Linked DNA regions of Caenorhabditis elegans. The protein of the gene in region 1 purifies or fractionates together with the protein of each later gene. This does not show direct contact. Each region holds a gene or a part of one and is shown on either strand. Other genes may lie near its edges. The genes, in order: actl-1 and ilcr-2.

Region 1 (5,738 bases):
ACTTGAGTGGTCACGGTCACAGTCATGGAGGCGGAAGTCATGGTCACAGTCACGGAGGAAGTCATGGTCACAGTCACAATAACAAGAAGACTAAGAAAAATGATGGGCATGGTCACAGTCATGCAAATGGCCATGGACACTCTCATGATGGGAAAAGTGATTGCAATGGTGAAGAAGAGCCGGATCACACTAGATTGAATGGAAAATTTCGAAGTGCTTCTGCGATGGCAAACTCCGACGCCAATGTGCGACTACTGGATAATGATGACAACTCCAATGACATTATTGAACGTCGTCTTTCTGGAGTTAATAGTCAGAATACCATCATCGCGACGGTCGATCGTCAAATGACACCATATGGAACACACATGGCCAGTGAAGTTCTCAATGTGTCTTCTAACAATCTCGATAAAAGTGCTCAAAAGACAGAACAGAAAAGTGAGTTTTTTTTTTGAGAAAACTCTAGTTTTCATTCGAAAATGTTTTAAATCAAAATAGTGTAGCGAAATGTTTGTAGAAGACAAAAATGTGAACATTCACGGAGTTTGGCTTCATTTATTGTCGGATGCCTTCGGATCTGTGATCGTCATGATTTCTGCCGGATTTGTATACTTTTTGCCAACATGGAAAATTGCCGCTTATTTGGATCCAATTTTAAGGTAATATTTATAAAATTTGGCCGAAAAGCTTCAAAACAAACCAATCTTAAAATCACTTATAATCATATAGTGCTGAAACCACCAAAAATCATTTAAAAAATGTCAACTTTTATTTTGGAAAACTGCGAGTCGGAAAACAGTGAAAACTCTTTTTGTCAATTTTTTCTAAAGTCGAGGATCAAAAACAATTTTTTTCAGTTTTTATACCACGATTCGGTTGTTATCCATTTTCCAGCATTACAGGGGCTCGAACTTTGATTTGGATTTCTCGGAAAGTGGCTCAAGATCAGTTTTCCTAACTTTTTGACTCGCAAGAAAAACATTTAAAAGAAAAACATTCAATGTTTTTAGAAAAGATTTATGTTATTATTAGTAATTATGAAACCACATAATAGTTTTTTTTTTAAATTTAGTCTTCTCTGGCTGTACTCCACCATTCAGTATTTTAAAATTGTATTTTTGTATAAAATTGTATTGTATAATATTTTAAAAAGGACCGTTAATTTTCAGTATTTCCCTGGCCTCCATCATGGGTTTCACTGCAGTGGTTCTTGTCAAAACATCGGGAGAAAAGCTGCTCAAGCAAACCCCAGAAGGGCTCGACCTCGAAAAGGTGAAAAAAGATTTGTGCAGCATTGTTGGTGTATCCAAAGTGGAAAAGCTGTCTGTGTGGACGTTGTGTGGGCAACGAATCATTGCTGCCGCCCACGTGAACATATGTCACCCAGCAGTTTTTCCTGAAGCTGCTTATAAAATTAAAAATTATTTCCACGACTTGGGAGTACACTCAACGACTATTGAACCCACCTTTGAGGTAAGCTTTTATTTATCTTGTGCGAAATCGAAAATAAAAAAAAAATTCAGGATACCTGCATGCAGTCGATGAGAATAATGGTTAAAAAAGTTGTTGATGGCAAAAGCATCGAGGAGCCAGTCAGTGTGTCAACTGAAAATGAAATCACCGAATAATCGTTCAAACAACTATTTTATTTTTGATTAAAAAATTTTGAACTTCGCGGGCCGAAAATACCAACATTAAAATGTACTTTTTCTTCTCCTTGAAACTATGTTTTTGCATTTGATCGTTTTAGCATCTCAACATCTACTCACCTTTCTTAGTTTCCTTCATTAACCGTATAATTTTTTCCACAATCTGGTCAAAAACTCGTCAAACTATTTAATTTATACGTGTCAATCCATTTCCCCACCCCCATTTACTGAAGTGTCCTTACTTTGTGTCTACCAATTTTCACTTACGCCTACTTGTTTTGTTACCCTTCAGTAAGAATTTCTCTAAATTTCTAGAGTGATAAAAAATAATAAATGAAATATCCATTTTAAGTAAAAACTAGTTTGAACATCCAATGGTTAATGCCAAATTGTCTACTATATTTATAAATAATTATACATACAGTAATAAGCGAAAAATGACTAAGATGAAAATGGACGTAACAATTGAGTTGGATCTTGATGGCGATGATTGGGAGGAGGTTGATGTGGTAAGTTGGTAGTTCAAAAGATTTTTGTGTAAAAAAGAAACTGATTGAATATATTTGAAGTGTACTATCAAGTTGCTCGAAATGCGACTTAAAGTTGTAATGTTCCGAATTACTGTTTTTGTCGGCACATTGATATTTGAGTCAGTTTTAAGCAATTTTTCAAAACATTTGATCGAAGTGACAGTATTAAAAAATGTTTCTTATACTCCTGTTCAAATTTCCAAATAAAATGTTAACAAAATATACATCTTGAAAATTTCAGTTATCCGACAAATGCGTTGAAGATATTCTAGAAGACGTTCACATAGATGATCCAATTTTAGTATCTGATGTTCGAATTACCCTACCTGCAAACATTCGGTATGTCATTCTATTCTATAAAAAACGTCAAGTAAAAAAATCGATTACAGAATCAAAAACTTCAAGAAAGAAATACGAGATTTGATTTTAGCAAATCTAGATGTCCCAACAACGGTTTCGGCCGGATCATGGCAGATTGTTTCAAGTTTCTTGCGCGGCATTGAATACTCGGTAACTTTCAAAAATAGTTTCAACGTTTATAAAGTTTGTTTTCAGGAGATAGGAGGAAGGGAACGAAATAGCAAGCTATCGTGGAAGCCATTTGAAGATATGCACGCTCAAATACTTGTAAATGCTCTAGCATATGCTCAACGAGTCGATATTTTAGTGAAGCTTAAATCGTATATAGATTCCAACAGTTATCTGAAAAATGGTGAGTTATCATTTTCATGTAACAATTTTTTAAATTTGACTGATATTATTAAAACTAATTCATACATGCACATTGTAATTACAGTTCCCGAACCAATGTTTGCATTTGCTGACACGGACTCCATGGCAAGTACAACTACATTTTCAGAATATGCGGAGCCTGTACATTCGATGAATGCTAGGAAAAGCAAGTTTTAATTGAAGTTTTAGTAATTGGAACCTAATACATTTATTGTTTCAGAAATATTATTGTTGCACTATGAAACTACGTCCAAAGAAAAGGAAGATTTCAAATGGTTTAAATGCAATTTGAAAAATGTTTTAGAAAAAGAACGCAAGGAGGGAAAAGACTTGGAAGTTTTTGATGTGAAGGTGTGGGAGAAGGATGATCGGGGAAACGTGTTTCAGGAGCTGGAAAAGCATTATGATCTAGTGAGTTGGCAATAAGTCTAGTCATTTCGGGGGCATGTTATCAAATTATTATCAAAAAATAACAATTGCACAGGCCACGTGGCTTTTGTTTTTTTATTATATTTCTTTTTTATTTAGGCTCCTCCCATGTTTGACTTTTAGTTCAATTTTTAAATTCTCTCCGAAAATAAAATTGTGGGAGGAGCGTAAATAAAGATGAAATAAAAAACAAAAGCCACGTGGCCTGTGCGATTCATATTTTTTGATAATAGTTTCAATTTTTCAAATGTATTTCATTGTGTAACATTTCGGAAACAACTTTTTGGTTTTTTGAAAGATTTGAACATTATAGACTTTAAAGCCCTGTAAGTCTAATACTGTTCTGGTGTTTTTTTTTTACGGATTTAGTTTTCATTTTTCCAGAAATCGTGGGCAATGTTTTTTTTTATTATTATTCAACTTTTTCTAAGTTGTTTGTGATTGTAAATTACTGATTACAAAATTTTTTGCATTTTCCAGTTTCCGCATATTGTTGTGTGCTTCAATAAATCTTACATAGAAGCCACAAAACCGAACAGCAAAAGCAAAATGCCTCAGTTCCGAAAATCAATCAGTGATAAGTTGAATGTAGAATTCCACATGAATGGCAATCGCAATTTACGAGGCAGATGTGTACTTATGTCGGTGAGTTTGGTATTTTGAAAGAGGAGTAATTTCTGGTATCCAGAAGGTTTTAGGTTAAATGTTAGGTTAAAGGTTAATTTTTTTAAAACTGATGCAGTGAAAATCTTTGATTCAAAATTATATCTCGATGTTGAGGCAATTATTTTCATTTTCAAAGATGGAGTAGCAAAATTGGGGACATTGCTCATTAAAGTTAAGACCAAATGTACCCAATTTTGTGATGAGGTTCTGAAGTTTTCTCAAAAACAGGTTATGGCGGTTCAAACTATTGAAAAAATATTGTATTTTCATCTAAAATCGCAATTCTGTATACTCGACAAAACCACAACTTGCAAAAGTAAAATTTCATGTGAGCCTAATTCATTACGTTGGCGAAATTTGAGATTTCAGCTGAAAATAGGGTTTTTTTTCCAAAACTGAACTACCGTTATTTTTTATGAGAAGTTTTAGAGTTTTCTCATTACGAACGTCGGAATTTTGTGATCATTTTTGGTCTGATAAAATAAAGACTCAAATATAGCTGCTCCACCTTCTACAAAATTTTTTGATTAATTTGTCTTAACATCACATTTAAAAACTTCGTTTTTAATTAAAGATTGCAGTATCTTTCTGAAAATACATGGCTGGACATCTAACTCTCTGGCTTCCAAAAATGTTTACACTGTGTGAAATGTGTATTATAGGAAGTGGAAAAAGTAACGGACACGTACTGGGCAGCTGTAACGAATCAATATCCATTCCCCGGAAGTTTTGAACCATTTGTGAAGCGTCTTCTGAGAGATGGAAAAGTGAAGAAACAATCACACAATAATGCAAATGATCATCACGAGGATTCCATGAACTACAGTATTACACAATAAACACCATGTGGTATTTTGAGCCAATAATCTATACATTGTAGCATCTGATGAACTTTTTTTTCATTGTACACTTTTTTGATGACAGTCACGTGTTTTTTTAGATTTCTCAGACAGTCTTTACTATCCACATTTTTTCATATTACAAAAACAGTATTTTTCTTTCAATTTTCTCAGTTAATCTATTAAGATGTTGTTTCCGACTTTCAATTTCCAGATTTTATTATACACTAATGAAATAAATCTTACAGAAGGTTCTATCTTTGAACACTATGAATTCATAATTGTGAAGCACTTTTATCCTAGACAACTTTTCCCCACTCTTCTCACATCTTTTTATAGGTTTCAGTTTCTCAATTGAAGCTGACACATCTGCCGCGCTTTTAATTAAATTAGCGGAAACTAATATTCAGAACAAATTTGAAGAAGAGATTGAGACAAAATCTGAGTGGTAATAATTGAGAGTAACAACTATGGGGATGTTTTCATAAACCCCTTGGCAAACTCAGTCGCTCAGATGGAAATCCTATGCTTTCAATACTTTTCACCCTTTTTTCGCTAACCGGGAACATCGGTTCATAATCAAAATTTCAATTACAAGTTGTTGAAAATTTTGAATTTTGAGAAATAAGTTTGATGCAAAATTGTTTCACGAAATTAATTGTTTCACTTTTCCCATTGGCAATATTCCATCTTAACATTTTAATTTTTGTGAGTTCATTGGACGCTTTTACAATTATTTTCCCCGAAATACGTGCCAATGAGGTTTCGAGAGAAAGGTTTCCTAGTTGACAATTTTTATTTTCTCCTTTTTCAAACAGTGGATTAGCAATCGACTGGCATGATGAAGAAGGAGGAGATCATCTCAAAAAATATTAACCAAAATAATAGGCAAA
Region 2 (5,951 bases), on another chromosome or scaffold:
GCGAATGAATGCTGGTTTCTGAAATTCCAATATCAGAAGATGAACAACTCGATAATTCACACCTCATTAGTGTACGAGCACTGTGGACACTTATGAGAAGCCTTCGAATGATGTAGTTTGTGATGTGCTCTCAATTCACCATATGTGCCAAATTTGGTAATTGTCGAGCATTCAAGGCATTGGTAACGATTAGCTGAAAAAATAATTATCTAAATTACTAAATAAGAATGCTGAAACATACAATCATGAATTTTTATATGTTCTCTCAGCTTGTTGGGATATCGAAACTTTTTCTCACAGAACGGACATCTGTAAAAATGTTCGCATTTCATTTATATAAAAATATTCCACATACGGATGGAACTCGTCTTTCGTTTTTCCTCTTTTTCGTTTTCTGCTCGCAATTTCTTCTTTTTCAACTTCTTCAACTTCTTCAATGCATACTTTCGAATTGCTTCTCTCACTGTTGCCATCTTCTTCTCGGTATTCATCATCAGAGTCTTCATCAGAAGACGATGACGATGAAGATGGTGGTTCAAACGAAGATATCATCTGAATTTTGGATTTTGGATAACAGTAAAAATAATTTTTCATAGATAGACTAGGTTATAAGACCTGTTTTAATTAGAGAAAAATAAAGAAAACAATTAAGGAAATGTTAAACATTTATAGATAGCGTAATTTTTAAATCCTAGAACAAATTATCAAATATATAAAAATCAAATAATGAGTGAAAAATGACATGGAAATTATAAATTCTGAACTATGAGAAGCCAGCGTGCCTCCGCTATGTTGGAGTTCTGGAAAACGTAGCTTCAGAACAATAAGACATCTCATTGAGGGACACGCTGACTAAATAAACATGAAAAAGCATCGCACAGAAAAATCGAAATAATATACCATAATTAACCACGTATCACACCGTAACAAGCAATAAGCAAATAAAAATAACAAGTCTCTTCATGACTTCTTCACAACAATCGTCTTCGGATCTTCACCCTCATTGTCGGATTCAGATTCGGATTCCGAACTGGAGTCAGATTCCGAGTCAGAATCAGAGTCAGGGCCGCACTGTTCAGGTGGTAGGAGAATGAGTGGCTGGTTCTGATGAGAAGCCTAAAAATTATATTTCTAGCTGAGAACATTTTGAATGAACATACGTGTGGCTGGAGATCAACATCATCTTCGTCATCACTGTCCACGAGTGCTTGCGGGGGCACCAGGTTATACTTTATAGAAGCAGCAATGCGATCCTCTTCAGTTTGGATTGGAACAATGACGGGAGACTGACGTTTGAGGTGAAGCGCTGCGAGCTCCTGAAAATGAAGTTTTATAAATTAATCATAAAATTAAAACCCTCACGTCTTTCGGTTTCCATCTCGTTTCGAGCCAATTCGGATTTCGAACGAAGAATGACATCATACGACTAGCACAAAGGTTCCACTCATGAATCTGAGCTTCTGATATGTTTTGAGTGACGTTGGCTCTTTCTGTGTGCTCTACATTGTGCAGGAATGCAGTGAGTTGCGCGAATTGTTCAGGTACTGTAATTTCAGAATTAGAAAGATTACATTTTAAATTTTAAAATAAACTAACAAATGAAGGTGGGAAGGTTAAGAATCGCTAAGTTTGGTGGAACATGTGGAGAATAGTTGAATCTGACAACGGCGTATTTCTTACGAGCTTCCGGAAAATTGTGTGTTGCGTCCTAAAATGTTTTTTCTTGATTTTAAGAAAATCCGAGTCAATTGCCTACACGAATGATCATTTCCATAGCTGGCCCGAACAAATCAGCAAATGGTCGAGCTTGAACAAGCTGATGAGTCTCAGAAGCTTCCGTGTCGAGAATCTTTTCAGCGCAATCAGAAACCACAATTATAAATTTCTTTAGAGAGCTGATTTGATCCACTAGCCAGCGGGATGGAACGATTTCTGAAATTAGTATGAAAAGTTGAAAAATACTATATATTTTTTAAAAACTTACGTTCTGCGGTTATAAGCTTCTCCAAATCAAAAACTGGATCACAGGATGCACAGTTTCTGAGATTTTCGACAAGTTTCTTCACACAGTCGGTATGCAAATCATTGTCATCCGCATAAACTATCATAACCTTCACAAATTCAGTCAATGCTATATTTCGAACTTCTCGAGATCGAACTTTGTCTCTCCATAGTACATAACCAAATCCAGTTACAGCCAGAACGATGATCAGTATCAAAAGTACAACGACAGCGATGAAAATCTCGAAACCATAATCTTTGAACTTTTGCAATGCGAGCCAAGACAGTGAAGCTCTATTTTTGTAGATAACCAGGTTCAGATGAGTACGAAGACATTGCCGACATCCTCGTTCTTTCTTCTCGCAATAAAATTTGCATCCACGAATAGGAACGTATGCCGTCAGAAGGTATCTCCCTGCTTTCTGATTTTCCCATTTAACGGCGGTTTCTGGGCACTTCACAGTCAAAATTTCCAGAAATGTCACTTTTTGAGAATCATCATCGTGTTCCTTGTAGACATTAACAACCATAGTTTCGCATTCTGCCCTCTCCGCTTTTCCCAATCTAACCCAAATCGCATTCTTATCACTGAAATCAGCAGACAGCATCGGTGCCCAGAACGGATCCGTTTTCGTTATAATTGACTGATTGGTAGTTGGATCCACAAGAATCTCTGGGAACATGTCATCGAAGTATGGAGCAGTCATAATCGTTGAGACTCTACATTTTTGCGGTAGAATAGTTGCATTGATTGCGTAGACAGAAAATGAAGTGAGTCGGAAACAGGAATACGAGAATCTGGTGGGATATTGAACTCTCGACGAAAGATGAATTCCGCGACACGGCCATTCTTTGACTCCGTTGATGTACTGAAAATTTGAATTTTTACTGTATTACCCAGACGCGAAGTTTAGCGTAAATAATACGTTACAGGGTCTTGACACGACAAATTTTCGTTGAATGCGAAAAGGTTTGCGTCATTAAAGAGTGATGTAAGTTTAAAGATTTTTCTTTTTTATAGAGAAACGTTTTTTAAAACTACAGTACTCTTTAAAGGCGCACACCTTTTCGTAATCAACAAACATTTATCGTGTCGAGACCTGGTACCGTATCCCCGGCGTATTAACGTTCAAAATTTCGCGTCTTTTAGTTGTTAAATCTAGTTACCATGGCTTTCGAATTGGAACAATATACATCTGAACCATCTGAAGCTGACAAGCATTCAAGACGGAATGCAATGGTATCGACGGAAGAATGAGCAGTGACGGAAATATTCAGGTTGGCATATGGATAACTGAAAAAATTAACTAATTAAATTAAAAAATTTCCACAGTTTCTGACTGATTTCCAACCTTATCTGGGACTTTGGTACGTAGACTGGTTTGAGTTCCAGATCAATAAGACCAGGAGGACATGTTGGCAGCTTTTCAGGAAGATCTGAAAATCGGAAAATTAATTATCTTTCTGGTTCGGGAAAAAATGTACCATTTTTCTTGAGCCGTTCTGAGCATTCCTTAGTCGTGGAGTACGTGATAAAAGGATCGGATTTCTTATCATCAGCTCTCACATAGACGAATGAATCTTTGTAGCATTGATCGGAATGCTCAAAAACATTCCGAAGGACGTAATCAGAAGCATTGGTGTATGATGCTGCTGCGGACGATTTGACAGAAGATAGTGAACAGAGATAGAAGTATAGGAGTAATAAGGGACTGCCCGTTGCGCGATAAGCAAGAAAATTGGTAGTGCAAAGGCGGACCATTTTATGTCATTAATTAAAGTGCGGTTTTGAAGAAAGAAAATGAAAACAAGCAACTTAACAACAAAAAAGATAGAAGAAAATATAAATTCTAAGAGATTCTAGAAAGAGAAAAGTGAGATTACTGTGGGTGAGATGTCGCAGCGGCACCAGTTGACGCCTGAAAATTGATGTAAAAAGATTTAGCTCGTTATTTGCGGTAAAAGAATATCTGATTGTAAACATGTGAAGAATTTGAACCTAATTTGTTGACTTTTCACCTCTTGAGGCGAGGCGACAAGGTGAAAACGATATGTTTGTACACGGGAAAACTTTTAGAAAATCTCTATTTTTTTTAATGTTGCTGCGGTAAAAATCAGAGATTATCGAAGAAAAATTAGTTTTAATTACCTGCTCTTGTGCGACTTTCTCAGCTTCCGCGGCTTCTGCAGCTACCTTCAGTTGTTGATCGGCAATCAACGCCCTGTTGTCCTTGGCTCGAATGAACGATTTCGGGTGAATTGGGAAGAGTCCCGACAGGCCTGAAATGAATAAAAAATTAATTTGATCATCAAAACTACGAAAACAGTTGATATTTTCAGTAGATCAAAAATTAATTCAAGAATTTTTCCCGCAATTTTTTTCCAAGTGTATTTTCCAAAAAATAATTATCACAGTTTCTCCGCTCACCGAGAAGTTCAAGCACTGGAACGGAAATATGAGCGTTCCGTTCACCAATCCAATATTTGAGGCGTCCAAAATTCAGAGCCACTAGCTTCTCGTTCTTCTGATTTGGAAGTGGATCAAAAGTTCCCACCTGTAAAAATTAATTTTATTATAAATCATTCAAGCAATTTTTTCATTCAAGCAATTCTCACCTGTTCAAGAATGTTACCCTCGTATCTTCGACCTAAAGCCCGATCAGGAAATACACAAACGTGATAGAACGGTCGGTTTGTGCAACCAAAAAGAGCCAAACCGATCGAAGGACGTCCGTAATATTTTGGAATTACTAATTTTCGCATTTCCAGCACCAAATTTCGCTCATAGAAGGAGCAATCTGCAAAAAACAGAATTGAGCTCGTACGAGAGGCAGAATGTACTACGATCGTTATGAACGGCTGCAAATTAAGAATAAAATTTTTTTTCGAATAGAATTATTTCAAAACTCAAAAAACTATTTACACAATGTTTATAAAAAGTTTAGAAATTGTGGAGAGAAAAACTTTTTTAAATGTCGTGAAGTGCAGTGTCAAGTACGCAATGTTGTCCGTCGGTGTTTGCGGACACAAGAGTAATTTCGCGCGAAATTTAATTTTGATTTCTTCTGGTGTATTTTTTGTACAATCCTTCATTTCCTCGTTTGATTTGCGTACGAAACAAGAAAAGTTGAAAATAATTGACAAATATTGCACTTAAAATTTATAGAAAAATGTAATATTTTTTTGTTTTTTGGTACATTAAAAGAGATAGTTATGATAAACAAAACTGATTTAATTTCCAAAATTAAGGAAATTTTATTTCAAATTTTTCCGACTGCGCCAACAAGAATTCGTAAAAATCTGCATGTCAAGTTTCTTGAAATCTAAACTGATCTTAATATTATTTAGGAAAATATAAAACATCATCAAAATTCATAATAAATTCATTTAGATATCATATATATTTACACATAATAATTCAAAAAGGCAACAATATGGCTTTCGAGCAAATATCTGAAAAAAAAATCATCTGAAGTCATTGAGAAGGATCCGAAAGTTGCATACTCGTTTCTGTGTGTCGGTGGTGTTGGTTGAGGCGGGGAGTGTAGAATAGACTATTGACTAGTATTAGAGATTGGGTAATAAATAGAATTCATGAGGAAACAAACGAAAAAAAACATAACTGAGTAAAACTTTGTAATGAGAGGGAAATATGGAAGAGAGCACAACATTGACCCGTTTTTTGTATGCTTGTTGAATTTTTTGTGCCCAGAAAACAGCTAAAACGGGGAAGGCAACAACTATATTATGTGACTAGAGAGATAAATGGAAAAATATAACAACAGCTACCTATATGTCTTAGAGATATAGTCAGCTAGGGCTCTGTAACAGAAAGAATACTGCTCAAAACGGGTAAACATCATCGGTCGGTGTGATTGAAGTCCTTTTACTGTTTGGAAGACGTCTATCCGTTGTTCAGCTTTTTGTCGGAGCCATAACAAGGAAATGCA

The links.
Region 2: the proteins of actl-1 (region 1) and ilcr-2 purify together in Caenorhabditis elegans (affinity purification with western blotting, with the first as the bait; one study listed by BioGRID). This does not show direct contact.

What each region holds. Positions count from the first base shown.
Region 1 is NC_003284.9:6,496,185-6,501,922, reverse strand, and holds actl-1 (ACT1-like protein), read left to right. Parts: upstream 1-2,086; coding exon 2,087-2,158; intron 2,159-2,420; coding exon 2,421-2,518; intron 2,519-2,568; coding exon 2,569-2,689; intron 2,690-2,734; coding exon 2,735-2,891; intron 2,892-2,975; coding exon 2,976-3,077; intron 3,078-3,131; coding exon 3,132-3,322; intron 3,323-3,820; coding exon 3,821-3,985; intron 3,986-4,668; coding exon 4,669-4,845; 3' UTR 4,846-5,120; downstream 5,121-5,738. Other genes in the region: cdf-1 (Cation diffusion facilitator family protein 1), read left to right, coding at 1-438, 518-659, 1,170-1,473, 1,524-1,628. UniProt on the Caenorhabditis elegans protein: May act as an adapter to facilitate downstream signaling for the receptor complex composed of ilcr-1 and ilcr-2, which is a signaling complex that modulates neuronal activity and animal behavior in response to sensory neuron input.
Region 2 is NC_003280.10:5,473,221-5,479,171, reverse strand, and holds ilcr-2 (Interleukin cytokine receptor-related protein 2), read right to left. Parts: upstream 3,927-5,951; 5' UTR 3,921-3,926; coding exon of another isoform or gene 3,882-3,920; 5' UTR 3,764-3,881; coding exon 3,487-3,763; intron 3,439-3,486; coding exon 3,354-3,438; intron 3,296-3,353; coding exon 3,169-3,295; intron 2,871-3,168; coding exon 1,985-2,870; intron 1,933-1,984; coding exon 1,757-1,932; intron 1,709-1,756; coding exon 1,597-1,708; intron 1,545-1,596; coding exon 1,363-1,544; intron 1,317-1,362; coding exon 1,161-1,316; intron 1,117-1,160; coding exon 961-1,116; 3' UTR 646-960; downstream 1-645. Other genes in the region: Putative zinc finger protein F56D1.1, read right to left, coding at 1-18, 63-193, 242-309, 356-552; mrps-16 (Small ribosomal subunit protein bS16m), read right to left, coding at 3,882-3,920, 4,151-4,281, 4,430-4,556, 4,618-4,764; clr-1 (Receptor-type tyrosine-protein phosphatase), read right to left, coding at 5,787-5,951.